Nothobranchius furzeri: one gene and its partners. The protein of the gene in region 2 purifies or fractionates together with the protein of the main gene of each other region. This does not show direct contact. Links are inferred from orthologs where the notes say so. Each region holds a gene or a part of one and is shown on either strand. Other genes may lie near its edges.

Region 1 (3,221 bases), on a different chromosome or scaffold from region 2:
AGAGTTTTCTTTTATTAAAGCTGTTCAGTCAGTCAGGGTCCCATCAATTACTTTCTATTAAAAACGGGATTATTCTAATTATTCTCTACTAACAAGATTAGACAGAATAAAGATGAACAAAGTGGAAATCTGTACAGACCACATTTTAGTTTGGTCAGTTTTATTTTCTTGTTTGTTTTTGTGCTTTTTAATCCAAAAACAGTCTATAAAACACACACACACTGCTGGGTGATAATCGGTCTGTTCTCTTCCCTCCAGGCTTTAGACTACAGTGACGATGAGAAAGAGCAGGAAGCAAAGAGGAAAATTAAAAATGCCAAAAGAAAGGAAAATGGCCACACAGGTAGGTCCAATGGTCACCTGGTCATGATGTCATCACTCAGGCATTACATTCGCATCAGAAAACCAAACCGTTTCCATGACTAGACTGACTTTTAAAAATGCACGTAAATGCGTTAGTCTTGCTGAAGACACGCTGGTTCTTAAAGTAGGGACTCGACTTCATCTGCATGTACACAGCTCAGTTGAGCTGATACTGGTTACTTCTGGATGTGACGAGACCGCAGGAGCGCTCTTCTGATAATATCGTCGCCACAAAATAACACGTGTAACACCGTCAAACCGGACAGTACGTACCAAATGAGCTGTGTTCATTCCGTCTGCCGTTCTGCATATCCTGTTTTAACTTCTGCTTCGTTCTGCCAGCGTTTGTTTACCATTTGTGTTGCTTAAAGCTAACCGGAAGTAATCCGACACAAAAGCATGTCGCCACCTACTGCACCGGAGTGGAACAAACTTCGTTTGAGAGTTTGGTTTTCTAACGTACGTGTAAACTAGGATAAAGACTCCCAGGTTATGAGTTTTAGACTCTGACCTAGATCCACTTAGATGTGCATGTAAACGCACTGACTTACAAAACAAACAAGCAGACAGGACCAGGTCTGCTGTTACCTGAAGGTTCTGGAATGTTTGCAGCTTCAAGAGCAAGTCACCCCCTACCAGATTCTTACTCAACTCCCACTTCCTGTTTGAAAAATGCAACAAATGATGTTGCCTAGCAGACCGAGAGGGCGGAGCCGCTAACAAACACACACACACAGGCTCACAACGACATTGTGACATCATATGGTACCAGCTAACATTCTAAGGTACCCCTTAGCCAATAGCGATAGCAGATTTAAATTCAAATGCAGTGCAGAGTTTTTACCCGACAACGGCACAGCACTGACAAGTTTTAGGCAGAGAATTTTAATTTTAACTAAAATGCATTAAAGTGCATTTAGACATGCATTTATATAGTTTATCAGAAAAAAATAAGTTGATTTGGGGTGACTTGCTCTTCCAGGATTAAAGCTAATTTCCATTCTGTTACTTCCATGTCGTTAGCCCTTTTTAGAAGATGCGCATGCCGGCAAATCAGCATTGTGTGTCTTATGAATGCGGCGTTAAGGAGTCTTTCTGCATTAGTGCCGCTGTGCTTGGTAGTAACATTACTGCAACGCCAGACTTGTGAGTGCATATTACGCCTTGGTGCAACAGAAGGAGGTGTCATGATCACGTGTGGAGTTACTGCCGAGCTTTGGCTGGCAACTATGTTGAAAATGAAAGTAAAAACTGGCCGTACGTTTTGCTTTTGTTAAGAAAACCAACTGAAACCATAAACTGGAGTGATGCAGAGCTCCAGGAGCCTCTCTCCATTAGAGATGGAGCTCAGATCACCAGAGACTACCCAGGGACTGTGGGGGACAGACACCTTTGGGAGCAGCTTGTCAAAAAACCCAAAGAGCACGGCTTTGATGGCAATAAAAAACAAGTAATGTCCAAGATAACCAGAAGTCCACTGCAGCGCAGAGACTGCCCCCATGTCCCCTTTATACCGCCATCGCCACAGACTGACCACTTATAAATGACCTACGGCTCCCTGATGCCACCGCGGCATATTGGCGGCGCAGTTTTCTAAAAGAGGCTTTCGTTAATGTGTGAGTCAGCTTGAGGCCTGGCAGAGTCCACACCGGCACTCCGGCCAGCTTGACTCTGGGTCAGACCAGCAGAAACTAAACCAGCTGTTTTTCTCCTTTCAGATAAATCTGCTCAGATTACCCAGAGGTCTTTGCAGCAGCAGAGACATCATAGAACACGGGGTTTCCCACCGCGACACGCAGGATCCCGAGTCAAGCAGCAGGACCCCAGAAACACCCCCCCTCAACATCCCCACTCTTTCCTTCCTTCTGCTCATCCCGATGTACTTCCTGTGTACCTCCCCCCTTCCTGCCAGTACCCTCCTCCTCTTTTCTCCCCACCTAGCTTCCCCTTCTACCCCCCTACTCCTCCTCCTCCTCCTTCCTTCTTCAATCCAGCATTCTCCTCCTCTGTTTGGCCTCCAAACTCTGTCCCCTTCTGCGACTTCTCCCTCCCTCCTCCTCCTCCCCCTCCCCCTCCCCCTCCTCCCCCATCACCTCCTCACTGACACACCACTGTCCCTTGGAGGAGAAACAAATGGCCTCTACCCTGAGCTGCAGCTCCTCCTCAGTCAGAGATGTTGACTAAGTCTGAGCCCGGGTCATTTGGACTAAGAACTAAAACCATCTGCTTGTTTTGCGTTTGTTGGCTCAGTTTCATCTCAGTGACCCAACAACAACAACAATGATGGGAGTTTGATGGACCTTTACCTGCGAGAGGTTCTTTCCGTCTGAGGTGATAAGTGTTGAACCACATTCCTGCTTCCTGTGTGTGTGTGCATGGATAACCTGGATTATTAATGTAAGCTGGTGTTTTTCATGTGCTGTTTAGACCTTTTGTTCTGACTGGTGTACATTTATTCACTGCGTTTCAGAACCATGGTCTTCCTCCTGGACATGTTTGTGTCATAATCTGCACATGATGAATAAACAACAAGTGAACAAGTTTGCTGTGTGTCTTTGCTGAGATCCACATGTGATGCTACTGCTGCCTGAGTGTAAACAAAAACGTGTTTTCGTTTAACTGGAGACTAAATTGTGCTGCTGTGTGATGGGTGGCAGGGACATTGGCATTTTGATCCTCAGCTTCAGAAGCTGACCCTTGGTATGTGGAACGTCACCTTGAGAGGTTCTGGCTAAATATAGTCTGACTCACCTTGAGGCATGGCTCTGGCTCCAGAACCAGTTACTTTGAGAGGGGTTGGACACAACCGCGCTTGAGTTGCCTCCACTGAGAGGCAGTGAGTAGGGGTGGGCAAACTT
Region 2 (4,198 bases):
GTGCCATGCTAGATGGTTTTTGCATATTTTGCCTTTTCAAGGCATCTAGACTGAAGTGCTCCCATACTCGTGAGGTTTTTGTCCGGGGTTTCTCTAAAGTTTTGTCGCTTCTATTTTCTTCCGTATTTCCTCTTGTTCCGCCATCTCTCACAGCAAGATGAGCGTCAGTAACGTGATACGTCATGAAAACCGAGGGCACTCATTGGCTCATTTCTTCTTCTACGGCTCCACTGGTAGATCAGTGGCTCATTACTGCCACACACTGGCGGCAAATTTAACAGCTTGTAACCGATGTCAGATTGTGGTAAAAAATAGACTTTATGCGGTAAAATATGATTATTAAACAACTAATCGATGACTAAAAAGGTTGTTAACTATTTTAATAATCGATTATAATCGATTAGTTGTTTCAGCTCTAGACAAGACAGAGCTGAAAACGGCTTGTGCATGCGTCGGTCACTGCCTCCGCTCAGGTTTTTTTTTTAATGTATTTATTTTAACTCTCTCACTCACACACACACACCTCAGTCAACATAGTTTTGTTTAACCGTGTGTGGGAAAAATGCCAACAATGTGAGGAAAAAATCAGTTTAATCAAATTAAAATAAATTCTAGTATTTCATATTTCCTAGTTCCTACTGCATGAGTTCAGATGCATTTATTCATGCACTTAAACATTAATGTTCTGATTTTACTGAAAAACTTGTTCTGTAATGGTTTCTTTACTATTGTGATCAAAAATATTTAATCTCAGTTCTGAGGCTGCTCTGTAAATAGTTTTCAGATAAACAATACACATATCAACTTCTGATCAATCCAATTTCAGATTTAAAATAATGCATTGATGTAAACCACACCCACTAATTTACAAATAATAAATAAGAGGTGCATTCATCTGTGTATCTCCTTTGATCCGCATTAGTGATATTTTCAGCACCAGAACAATGAAGCAAAGAAACAGATTCCTGAGTTTGTTAGTAATTTTATTTATTAGGTGCATCTAACCTGTTCTATTTTTCTCTGAAATGAGATCAAATCAGTGCTTCTATGGGTTGTCTCCTCTCTGCACTAGAAAAATTTACTTTATTATAATGTTCACTGTAATGCATCTTGATGTTCTTAACACAAATTAAATCAAAGATATGGGTCAATAATGCCAAATATGTAAATTTTTGTTTCAGTCATTTTTATACTGGCTTAAAAATACTTCATTAAGTCTACTAAGCAGGGGTGTAGAAGGGTTTTTAATATTAACATAAAGGTGAGACTTGTCAATCATTCTCCCCCCAGCACCACCACCGGAAAAATTCCCAGGGGAAACGCTTGTCTGACAGCTAGAGCCGATTCCAACAGGGTTCTAGTCGAGTCAACTCATTACACCAGATGAAACCACAAACATGTCACTAAACAGAGCAGATAACAAATGCTTTATAGCACAGAGTCAATGTGATCAGAATAGGAGGTCGTCTTGGCTGTGGTCAAGTGGGGTCATTCCCCAGACGGCTACTGGTCGTGGTCAGGCAGAACGCCGAGACCCCTCTAGCAGCCGCAGGAGAAGCTCTGATCCAGAACGGAGCAGAAGCAAAGACCACAACAGGCCCACAGCACTCAGAGAATGGATAAACCAGTTCATCATATCACATGACCAGGGTCAAACATGTCAGCAGGCACAAACAGGAGGAGGGGTTCCTGACCTTTAATAACAAGGGCCACTGGGAGGAGTCCAAAGTGGGGACTTTGGTGTCTGGCTGGATTAAAAACTCTTGACTCTCTTGGATCTCCTGTTGAATAAAAACATCAGTTTGTTCAACAGGAAGAGAATCTCCAAATAGATCTTAAGTTGAATAAATTCACACCAACCCCAACATCTTCAGCCACTCTCTTCGACTTCTTCTTCTTCTTTGTGGATGCTGCAAAATAAAAACCAAACTAAAGTAGCATAAATCCTTCCTAAAATCAGAATTCCAGGATTTTCTCAGAGAACAACAATCTACCGGGCCCTAAGTGGTGTTTTGTCACTAGCCAGACTGCTCAAGTGTTCACCAATATTCTAGACGAGTCTTCATGCCCACCGGGAACTGAACATTGCATTATAACAGGTTACTGGTCCCAGGTAACCTCAGGTTAAAGGTCACTAACTCCAGGGACCATACTACACCTGCTTTTTAAAAGAGTGTTCAACAGGTTTATCCAGGCGATTACCTTCATGTGTGCAGGAGCAGCAAACCTGCAGCACGTGCAGCATGGTGGCCCTGGAGATGGGCCCTGCTCCAGTGCAACTCTGAGCCCAAAAGGGCCTTTCAGTGGAAAAAGTACGACCGAAAGAAAGTATTTTATCTGAAGGAACAGAAATTTAAATCCCTGTTGCAGTTTGGTAAATTTGGAAAACTGTAAATGAATGATATAGAGCCCACGTGGCCTGCAGCTGCAGCACGTGGTGGAGCGCACGTGGCTGCTAGCGGAGCTAACAGGCCACTGACCGAGAACCCGCTCTCTCAAAGTTAACTACACTAAACGCTGCTGGAGCTTATGAAGAAAACACGAGTCCACAGAGCAAACCCTTAGTTCTGTTATTGAATTAAACCCAACTACTAAAGCATGTTGGACACGTGGAGGGATTTGTTTGTTTTAACTGGCTCAGACGCTGCCAAACCTCCTCATAGACCAACTTAGGAATTTTTTTTACTGCGATTCCTTCTGCGTAAAACACGCTTGTACGTGCACGTGGACGTGTTGTTAATAAAATCCCTGACTCAGCAGAATTATGTTCAAACTTAGCAATAAATTAAACACAGACTGTCGCTTACAAAACGTGCTCGACACTCACCAGCTTCGTCCGCCATCTTCTAATGAAAGATTCTTCTTCTGCTTGATGTTTTATGGCGGCTGGCACGAAAGTACTTGGTGCACTACCGCCACCAACTGGTCACAGAGCAGAAATGAAACCAAATGAGGTAAATAAATAAATGAATTTGCTATTTAAATACAATTTTTACATAATTAAATATAAAATGGAAAAAAATAAATGTGAAAAATAATTCTGACTTTTCTTTCGGTGGTTCTAATGCTCTTCTTTAATTAACTAGCATCCTGGGGGGAAATAAACACTAAAAAAGGCCAGTGATATTTGGAGTCAGATAAGTCTGTCATTAAGTAGTGAGACACAGATCACTGGTGGGCCTCTAGTGCAATAGTGTGTTAAAAAACGGAAAAAACATGAGATGACTGCGGATTTTAGAAGAAACGGGAACATGCTAAATGCTTGTTCCATCCTGGGAGAGAAGGTGGAGGTGGCGGAGGAACATAAATACCTCAGTGTCCACCCGGACGGCAGACGGGACGGATCAGTGTTTACAGTTAACCCCAAAATCCCACTATCTCCGCGTAGTGGAATTTGAGTGTCCACAGCTGCAGATCCAATAAAAATACTTCCTTTTTTATTGTTTGATAAACGTGTGTCCACTCCAGGCCAGGTGGGGGCAGTAATGCTGCACTGCTACCACCCACAAACGTCGAAGAAGAAGAAGACTCAGCATAATTCAGCTGGATTTTATGCGAGAACTTCAGGATCAGATGGAAGGTGAGGATCTTCTTGATTAGTGAAGTAGTTTTTGTTCAGGTCTGAATAACCTGCAGCTTCCGGGTTAAAACATTCTGATGACGTGTGGATGTTTTACTGCAGGGTTGTAAATGAAACCCTGCAGAACCCAGCTGCCTCATCAACATTCACTAGGACAACTTATTTAGATCGTTCCTGTCCGCAGGTATTCTGTCCCATTACTCGTGGCCACACTGCTCCAGGTGTTCTTTCTCCAGATGTTTCTGCTCTTATCACAGATGTTCAACAGCATCTAGATCAGTTCAGAACAGTCCAGTGCTTGGTTCTGATCCATTCTCGGTGTTCCTAGCTGTGTTTTCTGATGATAGACTCTGGACAGTAGATTTGGCTCCAGAGGGTCTTGGTGGTCCTGGGATTGGACCCTGAACCTTTTCAGGAATCCTTGGTCCAGGTGCAGTGAGTCCAGAACAGAACTGATCTTCCTCCATCTTCTACAGTGTTTCTAGAGCCGATTTCCATCTCATCAATCAAAATGATGCTCTCCCTGAAGCTCGTCAGTGTGGTTTTTGGTGATCTCTAGTCTGTTCTTTTGGGTTTTTCTGTCACCAGGAATCCTCCTGGGTCTTCAACCCCTCATGG
Region 3 (3,340 bases), on a different chromosome or scaffold from region 2:
GGAGCAGGAAACTGCCTGGTGTTACTTTAAGGAGGAAGTCCTCAATGTGAGATTACAGTGTTTTGGTGAAACATTTGCTTAGAATCAGATGAGTAAACTTTACCGACATAAATGTTTCTGTAATAAAGATCTAGATTTATACTCTGAAGCAGAAAACCTTCTAGACACAGGATTTACGTGCCTCAGGGCAGCTGTGGCTACATTATAGCTCATCACCAGCGTGTGAAAGTGTGTGTGAATGGATGAATGGCTGATTGTGTTGTTGTGCACCTCGGGGCGGTTGTAGAACTATAGAAGGTGCTATTTAAATAAAGGCCATTTACAATTTTTACCTAATAATTATAATAAAATGCAGATGATCAAAAAGAAAAATAAATCATTAATGTGTTGATGTGACCCAGTTTGTCACTAGCACGTGTGTATGTGTGTGTGTGTGTGTGTGTGTTTTAGTGCACCGGTTTTCCATGGTTATGCCATTTACCTTAACAGCTCCACTGTTAGCTTCGATGTAGATGACGTCTCCCACCTCCACCCGCTCTTTCTGAAGACTCTCATAAATGCTGGGATCCAGCTGAACAAACACAAAAGCATCATCAACATTTAATGATTTTGTTCAAAACTGATTAAATCGGACTTCTATAAGAATGTAATAACAGAACTCAAGTATGCAGCCTAATGAAAACGGATTTTTCATCTTTAACCCAGAAACCTGGAAACCACTTCTAAGTCATCTTTATCTACATTACTAATCATCATCTCACTGTTTGTACACAAAACTGTCAGCAGCAACAGGTTATTTGACTCTCGGTGATGAAAGAACTACAGATGCAGATTTGAACCCCCAGTCTGACCTTCAGCTGCTTTGTGCCTTTGGCCGTCTTCAACCCGATGATGACGTGACTGATGGTTTTCCCGTAGCCGCCCATGGGATTCTCCGTCTCACAGGGAGTCAGCTCCGTCACCTCGCCTTCATACACCTCCTTTGTTTCTTTGATGCGCAGCCCTAAAGGAGAGCGGCGGTACAGTCGGACCCAGACACGCTTCAAAATGAGAATTCAATCAGGTCTTTATGCTCCTGCATCGGCTAAGCCTTCACATCTTTCAGACGACCAAATAATGGATTTTATTACAGGAAAGAACGTGCGTGCGTGTGTGTGTGTGTGTGATGCCAGTGCATCACTCAGTGTAACATGATCACACTCCCACACAGAGTGGCGTGTAAGCAGCACAGGTGCCTGCTCCTCTGTGCTGAGGGTCAGAGGGCGGTTTTTAAAGCAGACCGTGCAGCAGAGCCGTTAGTGACAAGGTGATGAAAAGCTGCAGATGCTGTTGTACGGGTGGAGCAAGGGTGCTGATGACCACCTCTGCTTCTAGTTAAGCTCCATTTCCTCTCCACTCGACAGGTACTATCAGCAGTCAGACAAATCCCTTCCCTTCATCATGTCTCCCACATAAATCCCTCCCTATGAATTGGACACTACCTGCCACCTTGCAACACAACAGAACAAGTCATTCTCTTTTCATTTTCACTCAGTTCCTTAAAGCTGCAAGGAAACTTTGTTTCTGACCTCAAGCACAGCTAATGTTTAGCTAGTTGCCTTTGCTTCAAATCAAAACAGAAGTTCAACCCAATACTGAAAAAGTCCGAAAAGTCTGATCATTTCCTCCATGAACTGCATAACTAAGTTCATAAATCCGATTCCACTCACCGATTGCTCTCCTGAAATTCTCCATCAGTACTTCTGTCTTTTTAATCTCAGTGGAGTAGACCTCACTGCCCACCATGGGGCAGAAAGGCACTTTGTTTCCCAACTCCTGAGCCACAGCAAGAGCGAGGGCAGTCTGCAGGGGTCAGAAGTCACAATAACCATAATAACAATAACAACAAAAGCCATGCTTGGTGCAGTTTCAGACGGTAACTCTAAACTGTTTAAACTACGGTTAGACCGATTTATCAGGACGATATTTACAATTTTTTTTATAAATGATAAATGACCCGCACTTGCATCAATCATCCATTCACTTCACACACACATTCACACTGATGGCTGTTACACCTCCTTAGTAAAGCCGAGTTAAAGTCAGGCACATCCCCGGGCAGCCTGGTGCTGCTGCACAATTTTATTTAACTGTTTGTTTACATGATTGCTGAATTACATCTCCTAATAAATGCTCAAAAAATATTTTCAACTAGGATTTCTAATCTACCAGTTTTTAATATTTAAGACTTGGTCAGTTTACTAATTTGTTAGATTATTTTAGTAAGATGTCTGATTTGAACACCGAGCAGTGCACAAAATTAAGATTTAACAGCTGGTTAAACTCAGTGTTTTGTGCATCAGCTGTTGTTTTTGTAACATTTAGCAAAAACATGAGGTGGAAAACGTCTAGATATCGGCTATGAAAGTCGGTCCAAAATATCGGCAGCACAAATCAGCCATCGGCTAACTGTGACATTTACCTATTGGCAATAGAAAAGCCAATATCGGTCAACCTCTACTTTAAAACGCTGCACACTAACCTTTCCTGTTCCGGGTGGGCCTGCCAGTAAAACCGCCCTTCCTGCCATCTTTTTGGAGCGAATCATCTCAACAATGATGCCACAAGCCTGGAGAGAGAGAGAGAGAGAGAGAGAGAGAGAGAGAGAGAGAGAGAGAGAGAGAGAGAGAGAGAGAGAGAGAGAGAGAGAGAGAGAGAGAGAGAGAGAGAGAGAGAGAGAGAGAGAGAGAGAGAGAGAGAGAGAGAGAGTGAGAGAGTGTCACTACGATGTTTATCCAGAGCTGTGTAAGGGTGTGTATAAAACAAATACAATCACATTTAAAAAGCAGATATGAAATGGGAAACAAACAAAATTTAAGTAATCTGGTGATCATTAAAGTCAGCTTTGCTGAAAACCCACAAGAATAAGGTGGTAAATGTTAAAACAAGCTAAATATCTTTTGGTGATATTCACAAACTTTTTACCAGGGACAAAAAAAAAGTTGTGTAATTTATTACATGTATTTCTAAAATGACAGTTGTTTGTTTATATTGCTGAACATCAAGAGGAATGATGGAGCGTCCTAAAGCTGCATGTGTTTTCTCTGTAAACGATTGAGAATTTGTCTTTGAAACGAGGAATTATTCAGACATCAGTGTGCAGAATATAAATATAAAACCATTTTTAATTAAAGTCTTTTTCCCCTCAAACCATGTTTTGGAACAAATCACACCAGTAGAAAGTTGACTTGAGTGCATTTGGTGAAATGACCGATCTGTTGTTCAATTTTATAATCATCTACAATTATGTAGTGTACAGTGAAACAACCCAAAACAAATGAATACAACAAAAACAAAAAAT

The links.
Region 1: the proteins of dkc1 (region 2) and H/ACA ribonucleoprotein complex non-core subunit NAF1 purify together in Homo sapiens (co-immunoprecipitation; 7 studies listed by BioGRID and IntAct, counting the BioPlex papers as one, with this or other methods). This does not show direct contact. The link is inferred for Nothobranchius furzeri from reciprocal best matches to the Homo sapiens genes DKC1 and NAF1.
Region 3: the proteins of dkc1 (region 2) and ruvbl1 purify together in Homo sapiens (affinity purification with mass spectrometry; 4 studies listed by BioGRID and IntAct, counting the BioPlex papers as one, with this or other methods). This does not show direct contact. The link is inferred for Nothobranchius furzeri from reciprocal best matches to the Homo sapiens genes DKC1 and RUVBL1.

The regions. Positions count from the first base shown.
Region 1 is NC_091747.1:73,496,156-73,499,376, forward strand, and holds the end of H/ACA ribonucleoprotein complex non-core subunit NAF1, read left to right. Parts: intron 1-258; coding exon 259-343; intron 344-2,081; coding exon 2,082-2,467; 3' UTR 2,468-2,612; downstream 2,613-3,221. UniProt on the Homo sapiens protein: RNA-binding protein required for the maturation of box H/ACA snoRNPs complex and ribosome biogenesis.
Region 2 is NC_091758.1:16,263,513-16,267,710, forward strand, and holds the start of dkc1 (H/ACA ribonucleoprotein complex subunit DKC1), read right to left. Parts: upstream 2,923-4,198; 5' UTR 2,844-2,922; coding exon 2,828-2,843; intron 1,911-2,827; coding exon 1,861-1,910; intron 1,782-1,860; coding exon 1,695-1,781; intron 134-1,694; exon of another isoform or gene 1-133. Other genes in the region: cinp (cyclin-dependent kinase 2-interacting protein), read left to right, coding at 3,553-3,580.
Region 3 is NC_091743.1:48,433,207-48,436,546, reverse strand, and holds part of ruvbl1 (ruvB-like 1), read right to left. Parts: intron 2,609-3,340; coding exon 2,522-2,608; intron 1,843-2,521; coding exon 1,710-1,842; intron 1,004-1,709; coding exon 852-1,003; intron 572-851; coding exon 482-571; intron 1-481. UniProt on the Homo sapiens protein: Possesses single-stranded DNA-stimulated ATPase and ATP-dependent DNA helicase (3' to 5') activity; hexamerization is thought to be critical for ATP hydrolysis and adjacent subunits in the ring-like structure contribute to the ATPase activity.